Linked DNA regions of Rattus norvegicus. The main gene of each other region encodes a partner of the protein of the gene in region 3 in a complex. Links are inferred from orthologs where the notes say so. Each region holds a gene or a part of one and is shown on either strand. Other genes may lie near its edges. The genes, in order: Arhgef6, Dcp1a and Map3k5.

Region 1 (3,652 bases), on a different chromosome or scaffold from region 3:
TCCCCTACCTGCTTTCTCCCAGTATTCCAGCTTGAACAGAAGTTCACTCTGTACCTCATACTCTGGTGAAACCCCAAACAAACAGAATATCTACCTCAGTGCACATGGAAATACATGGGAGATGTTCATCCCACTTGAGAGATTTTTAAAACAAAGTGGAGTAGGGAATGGGGACAGATGCTACTTACCGCTGCCTTTTCCTCGCTTTGCTGCTCTGGAGTTGTGCTGGGAACGGCTGCCTGTGGGTTTGTCTGAGAGCTGGTCGTAGCACTAAGAGAAGAGGACCGTCCACATGGTCTTTCTGATAGCTGATCTGTGAAGAGAGGAAAACAAATAAATAAATAAAACTTGCAGCAGGAAACCACCTACAGTACACTCTAGCCCAGGACATTGCCGAAGCCATCCTAGTGGCTTCTGGGATACTATCACTCTGAACAGGCTGTGTTTTTAGGCTTCCCCCTCCCTTTTTTCTTTTCAATGGCCAACTTTTTTCTTCTTAACCTTACTGGCCACTGCTGTCCAGTATAATGAAAAACAGCGGCAGAACCACATTTTCTCCTAACCCATTTCCCTACAACTTTCCCTTACGGAACCAGTTGCCACAGTATGTATGCCGTGTTACCCAAGGCAGACCTATATCGGGTACCAAACAGCTGTTTGTGGCTCTTAATACTTTGGAAATATTTCAAATTTCTCTCTTTGTTTGTTGGCTCATAACTTACGGGTTCTTCGCTTACATGTCAAAATATGTGTGGCCCACATAACATAAAGTCTCCCTGGTGTTTTGGGGTGGGGTGGAGAATCAGAATGAGGGAGAGGGTGTGTTTGAGACAGATGCAATCTTGGTGTTAGAATCATTTTGTAAAATCAAACACTGGAGCTTTCTCTTGCTTGATTCTTTGTGAAATTTGATCGGGCCTGGGCTGAGCTGGGTGTTCTCAGCACGCTGAGAGTGTACTGAAGGGAGAGGCTGGCTTCTTGACAAATTCAAATGAGGCTTCTTTCTTTTCCACTTATTTTTAAAAGATATAAACTGCAAAAGTCTAAAGCCCAAACATTCCCTAGGCGACAGGCTCAGCATCGAGTAATCTCCTTGAGGCCGTGGGTTTTTACTTTCACCTCCTTGTATTTTTATAAATATCTGTGGTGAGCGAAGAGACTGTAAAACTTGCTAGAAGAGTTTGGCAAAGAAACGTATAATTTGTGTGGCATAATGTTAGAATTATACCATCCTCCCTTCCCAGAACTGGATACTTGTCATGTGCGTTAAATATAGCTACTTGAATTAGCTGTACTCTCTGCCATACGCCTTGCAATAGCTCAAAAACCATTTTTTTTCCAAATAGCAAAAGAACAACTTCAGAGAAGTATTTTTCCACATCTTGCCATTATCTACAGCTCTTTAGGGTAAAACTATAATTACTTGATGGGTTCCTAGATTCTCCGTCCTACTCGGCACTTGATTACATTGTCTGCTCCGCTCTCTAATTGGTTCACGTGGGTAAGTTGAGTCTCCATAAATAGATGGTAATTTTTTCAAGGGCAGGGCCAGATCTTCTACTTCCTCCTTGGCACCTGGCAGTACTGAGCACAGTCGTGTGGCTCTTAAACCAATCAAGCAGCAGGATTCATGTTTATCATAAAAACTCTGGACAGTTTTATGTGGGTTTGAATCCTAGCTTAGCCATCCAGTTTCTAGTTGGGTAACTGTGGGCCAGGCATTCCTTATCTCTAATGTGGACTTTCCCGTCCCTGTATCCACCATTGGTGTTTGACTGATTCAATGAGACCACTTGGAGCTACTGAGACAGCCAAGACCGATGGAAAGTGCTCAAAGCATTTGAACTCACGATGACTACGACTGATATATTTAAGACATGATGTCACAGAATAAACAGCTTTCTAGTACAGTTTTATCAGTTTCCTCTTTACTCGGATTATACTTAATAATCTGTAATACAGTGGATATGAAATGTTTACATAAGCTACTCTCTATATTCATTGGGGAATCTGAGGTTTCATTCCAAGAGCAAAGCTACTGAAAAGCTCTGCTTTGCGACCTATGGAAAACTACAAGAAAAATATCTCTGGTGGAGAAAGGGAAGTGATGGCTGTTTTTTGTAAACCTTATTTTTTAAGGAGGAACTGGTCTTTCCCTTTTTTGTCTGTCTTGTTATACTCAATTGGCAATCCCAAAGCTTTGCATGAAATCACTTTTGGTTTTTATTGTTATGTTAAGATTATTAGAATTTGATATGTGTGCATTTTTCCTTGTTATTCTGTGATGGGTACATTTGAGTTATACAAATTAAGTATTTTATATTTTTTATAAATTTATTTTGGGGGAGGGAAGAAATTTGCATCATTTGAACAGCTGTGGCCATAGCTAGCTTCTAGAAATATGGATCATAAATCACCAGCATGCCTTACCTTCTGTCGCTTTGTTGACAGCTAGAAGGGTATTCAGAACCTTGGAGAAATTGGCCCCAGAATAGAGGTCATCAGGCTCAAACACCTATTAGAAAGGAAATGTGAAACTGTAAGACACTGTAAGTAATCAACTCAACAAATGAAACTGTGAAAAGGCCCCTTGCTTTAGTATTCAAGAGGGGGAAAATGTACAAGACAAGATGCAAACCTCTGCATACCTTCTGGAAAAACTAGAGCAGCAGCTGAGCTGCCTAATGGCATGTGGCAGCCATCAGTGACTCAGAACAAAACAGCACTGGGATATGAAAGGCAAGCTGAGAAGGTAGCACCCACCAGGAAATTTAAAGCGCATGCTCAGACCCAGTCTCCTGACCTGAACTCCTGACTCTTCAGCCAGTTACACAAAGCCTGTGTGCAGGGGTTCCTGTTACTGCCCAACACCTCCCCAAGGGCCTCAGAAGCCTACAAATACAGAGGCTTTCTGCTTTACCTCTTATTAATTCTCCTTGCCGGTGGCACTGTCACAAGTGCCTGTCTCTCCTCCCCTTCCTCCCTGCTGCTGCCCAACTGCTTAGGATCCCAATGCCACATTGCAGAACTGCTGTCCCAACCTGCCTTTTGCTCGAAGCCTCACTTCCTGTTTTCTGCTGATTGATCTTGCCCTTCTCATCTGTGAACTGCAAGAATCTGACTCTCCATCTGCCTGAGCTTGTGAGTTCTTCCTGGCTTTGGGTGACCTTCCTAGATATGCTGCCAGGCCTTTGGCCAGGTATGGTGGGTCACATCTGTAGTCTTTGCAATTGGGAGGCTGAGGCAGGAGGATTGCCAAAATGTAGGATAGCCTGGCCTACAGAGTGGGTTCCAGGTCAGCCTAGGCTAGAGTGAGACCTGAGTAAAAATAACATCCTCATGACCTTTTTTTTTTTTTTTTTTTGCAATCTGATAGGGAACTGTTCCTACAGAAAGTGCCAATTACCTACTGATATATTCTCTACCTTTCTCTGTCATCACTATCAGTCTCTGTCTCTCTCTATCTCTCTCCTGTGTGTGTGTGTGTGTGCGTGTGTGTGTGTGTGTGTGTGTGTGTGTGTGTGTGTGTGTGTGTGAGAGAGAGAGAGAGAGAGAGAGAGAGAGAGAGAGAGAGAGAGAGAGCGCATGGGAGGACAAATTTGAGAAAGAATCAGTTCACCCCTACCATTCCACATGCATCCCTGGACATTAA
Region 2 (3,752 bases), on a different chromosome or scaffold from region 3:
TGGGGTTATTTGCTTGCTTTTCGTTTCTCCTGGTGCCAAAAAGAGTTGGAAGCTTGGAACTGACAACCACTCTATAAGATCAATGAATGTGTACGTGAGCAAAGGGCGAACAAACCATAAGCTGTTCCGACTTCTTGCCTCACACGTGTTTCCGAACGGAAAGTCTGCCCTTCCATTAGCAAATGATCTTGGGATGTAAAACCACAAGCAACACAAATATATGGTGGTACTTTGATGGAAATGTAAAGTTTATCCTTTCAAAAACGTTCATTTGTGCCGAGATGTCCTCAATAAAGAAAAACGATGGTTTTTAAAGCAGCTCAATGAAAATAGGCTGAGCACGTTGTTTTACTTTGTAGTACCTGACCCCTTAGGATGCCCAATAATGTTGGCTTTTTAAGAGATCTACTTATTATTTAAGTAATAGGTCTTTCTATATTGCTTTTTTTTTCTTTTTTTCGGAGCTGGGGACCGAACCCAGGGCCTTGTGCTCGCTAGGCAAGCGCTCTACCGCTGAGCTAAATCCCCAACCCCGTAATAGGTCTTTCTAGAACAACAGAAATATTTATTTAGGACCCAGATGAAGGAAAAGACAAGCCAAAGAGGGGAAGCCGAGTACAGTGTAGTTCCAGGCAGGCTAGTTTGGCTGCTTTGAAACATTTCTTTCAAAAATTACCAAACAGTTAAGAGTGAAAGTGCAGCTCGGAAGTAAAGTACAGCTCCCTTTCCTCACTTGGTCTGAGTTTTCTCAATGGTCCATGAAAACCTCACTTCCACAGCAGCAAGCATTTCGATTCAGGGTATGTGCTGGGCTGCGGTCTCACTGGCAGGAGTCTGGAGCACTCAAGGAACAAGTTCAGATCCCGCCAGGTGAGAGAGGAGGACTCCGGAATGTCGGCTCGCCGAAGCTCCACCGCGCAGGCGCGGACGCCTGTACCTTCCGGCAGCCGCAGACCTAAAAAGATCGGAACCAGGCTCCCAGGGCATAGGAGCGGCGGATCAGATTAACTGAAGTACCACCCTCGGCAAGGCAGGTCGGATAGGCGGAAGTGGACGGCTGACTGAGCTGGGGGAACTTTGCCTGGATGGCACTTTCCTGTTCTCCAGTCCGCCCCCGCCCGAGGGGCTCGGCCTGGAGATCCAAGATGGAGTTGTTGAGTCGAGCTGAGCAAGAGATGAGTCTGGCGGCCTTGAAACAACACGACCCCTACATCACCAGCATCGCAGACCTCACGGGCCAGGTCGCCTTGTACACTTTCTGCCCCAAAGCCAACCAGTGGGTGAGTGAGGCCCAGCCGTGGAGAACGCCAGCCTGGCCGCTGCCGCCTCTTAAAGGGACCGCGCAGACAGCTTAGGATTGGGGGTGGGGTGTGGAGCAGAGTAGGACCGCAAAGGCGAGGCCCGAACCTCTCCCAAAGGTCCTTCCAGAGCCGAAGAGATGACGGGGGAAAGGGGAGGGACACGCGGAATTGGAGGAATGAAGGGTAGGAGTACACCAGAGACATAACAGGGAAATCAGATGGAGGACAGGAATGAGGCAGGATCAGTCTTTTTGGGGTCGGTTCTGGAGACTTGAGGTTGCATTGGCAGGATATGAGACAAGTTAATTTTTTTTTCTAACAAGTGATTGAAAACCTGTGTTTGAGACTTTGAAAACTATTAGATAAATCACGTGTTCTTGATTGCAAAATCCACTCCTCTTTCCCTGCCGACCTAAATGTGATGATTTGGATTTGAAGCTTAAAAATCAGTCTCAGGAGTTAGTCCAGCTTTAGCAGAACTGGTATCACCGGAGTTTAAAGAAAGATTTCAAGGCTACTTCAGTAAGAATTGGATTCCTTGGAGACGTTTTTACAAGAAAAAAAAAAAAAAAAGAGACCGGTGATAGGACGTTTGATCGCTCACTTCTTAGTTCTTTTTGGATTTTGTGAGTGGCATGGAGTTCCAGAAATTACATTCACTGACTTTAGTTAACCTCAACTTGAAGCACCTATTTACATGATGTCCTATTTCCTCCTGATGCTAGGCAGACACTGTACTGTTCCTCTACCACTGGGCTATATACCCAACCCAAGTTACAGTTTCTTAATCACATTTTCAGGCGTTTATTTTAAAAACCTACCACATTTGTCTAAGGCAGAGAATGGTTTCTATCCACGAGTCTTAACAAAGTTCTGAAAATATTAAATTGTGTTTGGTCACCACAAAATGTGTAACTCGTGAAAATAGTCCTAAATTCTCCAGAAATGAAACAGTATCTTAGAAGAAAACGTCCCGAGGGTTAGGGATTTAGCTCAGTGCTACACAGCTGTGCATCATGAGGCCCAGGCTCTGAGTTCAACCTGGTATCCCTTTTGAAGAAAGTTTCCATTCTTTTTCTATAAACCTCAATAGACTGCTCAAGTTTGGTTTGGTTTGGTTTTTGGTTTTTTTTTCCAAGTTTTTGGTTTTTTAAGTTGCAGTAGACAATACCTTGACTGGAGTATTAAGATACCTAGTTGAAAGGTTTTAGTGTTTGCAGAGAGAAGCTGGGGCAGAGAAATGGCTCAGTAGTAGCTAAGAGCATTTGGTGCTCTTCCCAAGGACCTGCCTCAATTTCCAGCATCCCCATGATGGTTCAGACCCATCTGTAACTCCAGTTCCAAGACGTCCAGTGCCCTCTCTAAGCTCCACGTACACACATACATGTGTTACAAAGAAATACGTATGCTGACAAAAGAGCCCTACATCTTTTCTAATTGAAAAAAAAATTTAATACATAAAATAAGTAAAGCTAAATCGCTTTTTTTTTCCCTTTAAATGTTCCTCACTGGCAAAAATAGACATGTGCTACAGATGTACACATATTGTTGGGTTGGACATACATAAACACAGGGGTGAACAGATACATAATTTGTTTAGATTTCTTTTAAAAAGTGAATTGCTTTACCTGTTCAAACGTGACTAATTTGGAGGCTAAAGAGACAGCTCAGTGGATGAAGTGCTTGCCTCCCCAGCTTGAGAACCTGAAGTATTCACACAGAAAGCTGGACGTAGTAGCTTGCACTTACGTGTCCTCTGGGGACATGGAGGCGCTTATGACACAACACTGGAGCTCACTGACCAGGAAGTGCAGCTAAATTGCCCATCTTCTGGCCAGTGAGACCCCCTGACTCAAAAGAAGGAATGACGCCTGAGAGTGACCGATGGCCTCTCCAGTTGTACACAAATGCCAGCGTGCATTCCCTTGAGCACATACACGATCGATTTCACAGTAAATAAGACAAGTTGGCCTGAACGTGTAGGTGCTTCACCAAGATCATTTGACCTTGGATTATTCCTGGAAAACTGACAGAGTCGTTGTCTGTTACAGGAGAAGACTGATATAGAAGGGACATTATTTGTATACCGAAGGTAAGTGGCTTAAGGATGTTTCTACTTCACTTGAATGGTGGTGATCGCTGTGGTGGAGCGTGGTCCGTTTCTATCGTGTATGTAGCTTTGGAGCCTTCCTGTTTATCTTCTTCCAGTTTTCCCCCACCCAAGCACTACAGTCCTACTACAGCTGCTGCTCTTCTTCCCATGTTAAAAAGAATGCATACGTACGAATGTCTGCGAATATAGTATAGTACAGTAGCTATAAAGTGATTGAGATAGCACTCTTGCCGGTCTGTAGTTTCTGATGAGAATTTGCCTTCTGTGGCTGGTTCTGCCCCTTTCCTGCCTCTTCCCAAAGTTCTAGGTCATTCCTAATTCATATACATTTTACTTTA
Region 3 (3,652 bases):
ACGTAATTTAAAATGTCACCGGCAGAGTTCCGGTCATAACTAATCCTGCTCACAGCAGTCCTGGGGGTAACTGTCTCTGGATGAGAAAAACATTCACTTCCTCAAAACTATCCTCATACTTCAATGAGTCAGTATGTGAAGGGCCAGATGATAGTGAGGTTGTGAATTCTCAGCCCAGGGCTCAATCAAATACGCATTGAGAATAATTAGGGAAATGTCTATACTGAACCTGCACAGATTTTTCCCCTGAACAGAACAAACTAACAACCATCCACACAGCATGATAGTATGTTAGATATCATAGTTATCTAGAGATACAAATATATATAAATATAGAGAATGCTTAAATATATAAAGAATGTTTGGTTGTTATACGAAATCCTGTACCAATCTATAAGGACTTGAACATCCTTGGATCTGAGTACCCTTAAAGAGTTTGGAACACATTTTTAACAAACACCCAAGGAAAACTATATTTGCTTAAAAGTAGTATAATATTGATAAAATATTGAATGTTATAAGATATAAATAACAAACACAAGCTCTGTCACAGGAAAAAAAAAGAATTATAAAAAAATTGTAACTACAAATACCATGACAGGCTTTTACTAACAGAGAGACAAAGGACTCTCGCATGCGGGCACACACAGATACACACAGACACACACACACACACACACACACAGGCTGGTAAAAACAACAGCCATCAAAAGACAGACGTAGGAGGATTAAAAACTCAAGCCAGCCTGAGATATACAGTGAGACCCCGTCCACAAACAAACAAAACCAGAGAGAGATCAGAAGGCTTGCACTACTTCGCATGGGCTGTGGTAGATATGGGAGCTGCTGGGAAGCCACAGGGACATTGGTAAGAGCTGAACTGTCATGTCGGAGCCATCCCAGGAGGGAATATCTTACCTGTTCAGTGCAAAGGCATAATGAAACTTCACGTGGTGGTGCGAGGCCAGATCGAAGGTCGGTAGTTTTTCTAAGGTCTCTACCAGCTTCACTATGGAGTCATAGTCCTTTCAACAAAATGAACAGAACAGAATTAAACCCTGAGGAGAAATCTCCGACAAGACAGCCAGGCATCTAATGCTGAGAAAGGGACTAACGGCAAAGTTAGAATTGTTGAGGGGCATAGAAGGCGTCTGCAGCAACCCGCCATCGACACACACATACACACACACACACACACACACACACACACACAACACGCGCATGCACATGCGCACGCAGCAAACAGTCTACACAGGAAGCCATTTAAGAGAGCTCTTAAGAGTTCTGATAAGGATGCTGAGTGGCTCCCGGTAGGGGCGGGGGTGGGGAAGGACTCAGTTTTCTTTAAGGGGTTGGCCACTGGGAGTTTGACCATGCTCTGGCGAGTATACACAAGTTGGACTTAGTATCTGTTTTTTCTTTTTCTTCTTTTATGGGGGGAGGAGGGGAGATCCAGAGGCAGGAGGTATGGACCTGGGAGGATTAGGAAGTGAGTGATTGTGGTATATGATGTGAAATTCCCAAATAATCAGTAAAAGTATTGTGTTAGGAAAAAAACCAATCTGTTGAGACCTTTGAAAACCCTAGAAGCAACAGCCGTGTTTCTCCTAAATTCCTATTACACGGATTAAGGTATGAAAAAATAAAGTTATGGGATGTGATAAAATCCAAAGAAACAAAACAAATAAGCCACAGTCATGTGACTGGCTCTTTTCACGTAGCTCCTGTTCTGCAGGCTTCCATCAAGAACCATAAAATGATTCCACCAAGGACATTAAAAGTTTGAAGGTCATAAGGCAACTGACTGAAATACTGTGGTAAGTGAAGCAAGATGACTGCAGGTCACGTTAAGTGAGTTTCCTCTAGCCGCAGGCTGCTAGCTACCATGGTTCTCCATGTACTGAGTCTCTCTGATGGGTGAAGTTTTACACAGGACCAAGAGGCTGGTACAGGAACCAGAAGCCAGGAGTTACCTGGATTTTATGATACAACTCTAACGTCACACCCCTCACTGAGAGAGTTTTAGTCTACTTGCTGGATCTTAAAAAAAGGCTACGACCCAGCAGAAGAAATGATGCCATACGTCCGTGGGTCCGCCACTTCTTTACGAGGACTTGGTTGCATATTTCTTGCTCTTGGCACCATCAGATTCAGTAGCATAGTTTCAGGAAGTAAAAGCTATATCCAGAGAGATCTACGAGCCTCTGCTGTTTGCCAAAACAAAGCTCTCATTGGCTGACTGACAGGTGTGCCCGAGGCTCACCGAGGAGATCAGCCCTCCAAGAGCTGATCAGGTGAGCAGCTTTTGAGGAAGGGTAAATATGAGCGTGTCATAAGCCCGACAGTTAGCATCTGCGAGTCTCTTCCACTCGCCATGAAGTCACAGAGGAAAGGTAGCAACCTGGATTACTTATTACGTAGCTGAACTCTAACACCCCAGGCCTTCCTTCCTCTGGCATGACATCTGAGAGACAGCTCGTATCCTCTCACCTGGATATCTCTGTAGGAAAGCAACAGGTTGATAACAATGTCTGCCGTCAGAACTTCAATATTGTCTACCCGCTGCCGGATCCTCGCCAGCTCAGCCGCCAACTCTTTACCAGTGTACAGATTCCGAGCTTTCCTGATGTCGTTGAGTATAGATTCCCGGAAGTACTGGCTGGCGAAAAAAAACACACGTTTCAGAGAGTTAGCTCTAGAAAACAATTCACTGAAACACAGACACGCAAGGCATGTGTCCACGAGCAGTTTTCAGCCACTAAGCCACACTGAAGGAACACCTCATGTATCTGGCATTAGTAAGAAATCTGGGAGTGTGTGTATTTCTTTTAGGATTCTGCCGTATTTCAAAAGAATATCCAAATTCTATTTTTTCATTGTACTGCTTCGAGGGCAAATTATCTCAAATAATTTAGACAGGCCCATGATCTGACTCTCCGCTAACATAAACAACTGATGACTCTTCGTTTAATCACCACGTTTGCTGGCCGTGGTGGCACCTGCTCGCAACCCTAGTGCTTAGGAGGCAGAGGCAGTTGAAATCTCTGAGTATTGGAAGGCCACCTCCACAGAGTTTGCGACTACACAGAGAGAGCTCCAGGCCAGCCAGAGAGCTCTGAATCAAGAAAATGACTTTTCATTTCTGACTTAGAGCATGTATGTGTGCTTCCGTGTGTGTGCCCAGTCATGGGTACGGCGGTCGGAGGCCAACTCTATAGGGATCGCCCTTCTCCTTCTGCCATGAGAATTTCGGGGCCTGGACTTAAGGTGTCAGGATTGGCAGCACGCACTTGCCACCGAGCCATTTCGCTGGCCCAGGGATTATTCTTAACTAAGCTATGTTCTTAGCAAATTTTGCAAAACTTTGGCCCTTACACTAAAAGTCCCCTGACATTTATTCTGATGTAGCCATAACTGATCGTGTGTGTATGTGTGTGTACATATATATACATATATATTTATTTCTTTATAAACATATATATTTATAAACAATAAGATTATATATAAACTTACTTCAAAATAAGTAAAAGAAATATAAATATATATATATGATACAGATAGATCAATAGATAGAGAGAGAGGTCTTTGTCATTATTATAAAAGAATTAATAGATTGGGGCCGTTTTTTCCTTCCATTTTTATTAAATTGGGT

The links.
Region 1: Map3k5 (region 3) and Arhgef6 share a complex: the UniProt entries of both Homo sapiens proteins name them as parts of the cytoplasmic complex. The link is inferred for Rattus norvegicus from reciprocal best matches to the Homo sapiens genes MAP3K5 and ARHGEF6.
Region 2: Map3k5 (region 3) and Dcp1a share a complex: the UniProt entries of both Homo sapiens proteins name them as parts of the cytoplasmic complex. The link is inferred for Rattus norvegicus from reciprocal best matches to the Homo sapiens genes MAP3K5 and DCP1A.

The regions. Positions count from the first base shown.
Region 1 is NC_086039.1:140,259,992-140,263,643, forward strand, and holds part of Arhgef6 (rho guanine nucleotide exchange factor 6), read right to left. Parts: intron 2,977-3,652; exon of another isoform or gene 2,921-2,976; intron 2,516-2,920; coding exon 2,431-2,515; intron 314-2,430; coding exon 189-313; intron 1-188. UniProt on the Homo sapiens protein: Acts as a RAC1 guanine nucleotide exchange factor (GEF).
Region 2 is NC_086034.1:5,662,317-5,666,068, forward strand, and holds the start of Dcp1a (mRNA-decapping enzyme 1A), read left to right. Parts: upstream 1-1,120; 5' UTR 1,121-1,145; coding exon 1,146-1,280; intron 1,281-3,352; coding exon 3,353-3,393; intron 3,394-3,752. UniProt on the Homo sapiens protein: Necessary for the degradation of mRNAs, both in normal mRNA turnover and in nonsense-mediated mRNA decay. Removes the 7-methyl guanine cap structure from mRNA molecules, yielding a 5'-phosphorylated mRNA fragment and 7m-GDP.
Region 3 is NC_086019.1:16,582,353-16,586,004, reverse strand, and holds part of Map3k5 (mitogen-activated protein kinase kinase kinase 5), read right to left. Parts: intron 2,660-3,652; coding exon 2,491-2,659; intron 1,026-2,490; coding exon 919-1,025; intron 1-918. UniProt on the Homo sapiens protein: Serine/threonine kinase which acts as an essential component of the MAP kinase signal transduction pathway. Plays an important role in the cascades of cellular responses evoked by changes in the environment.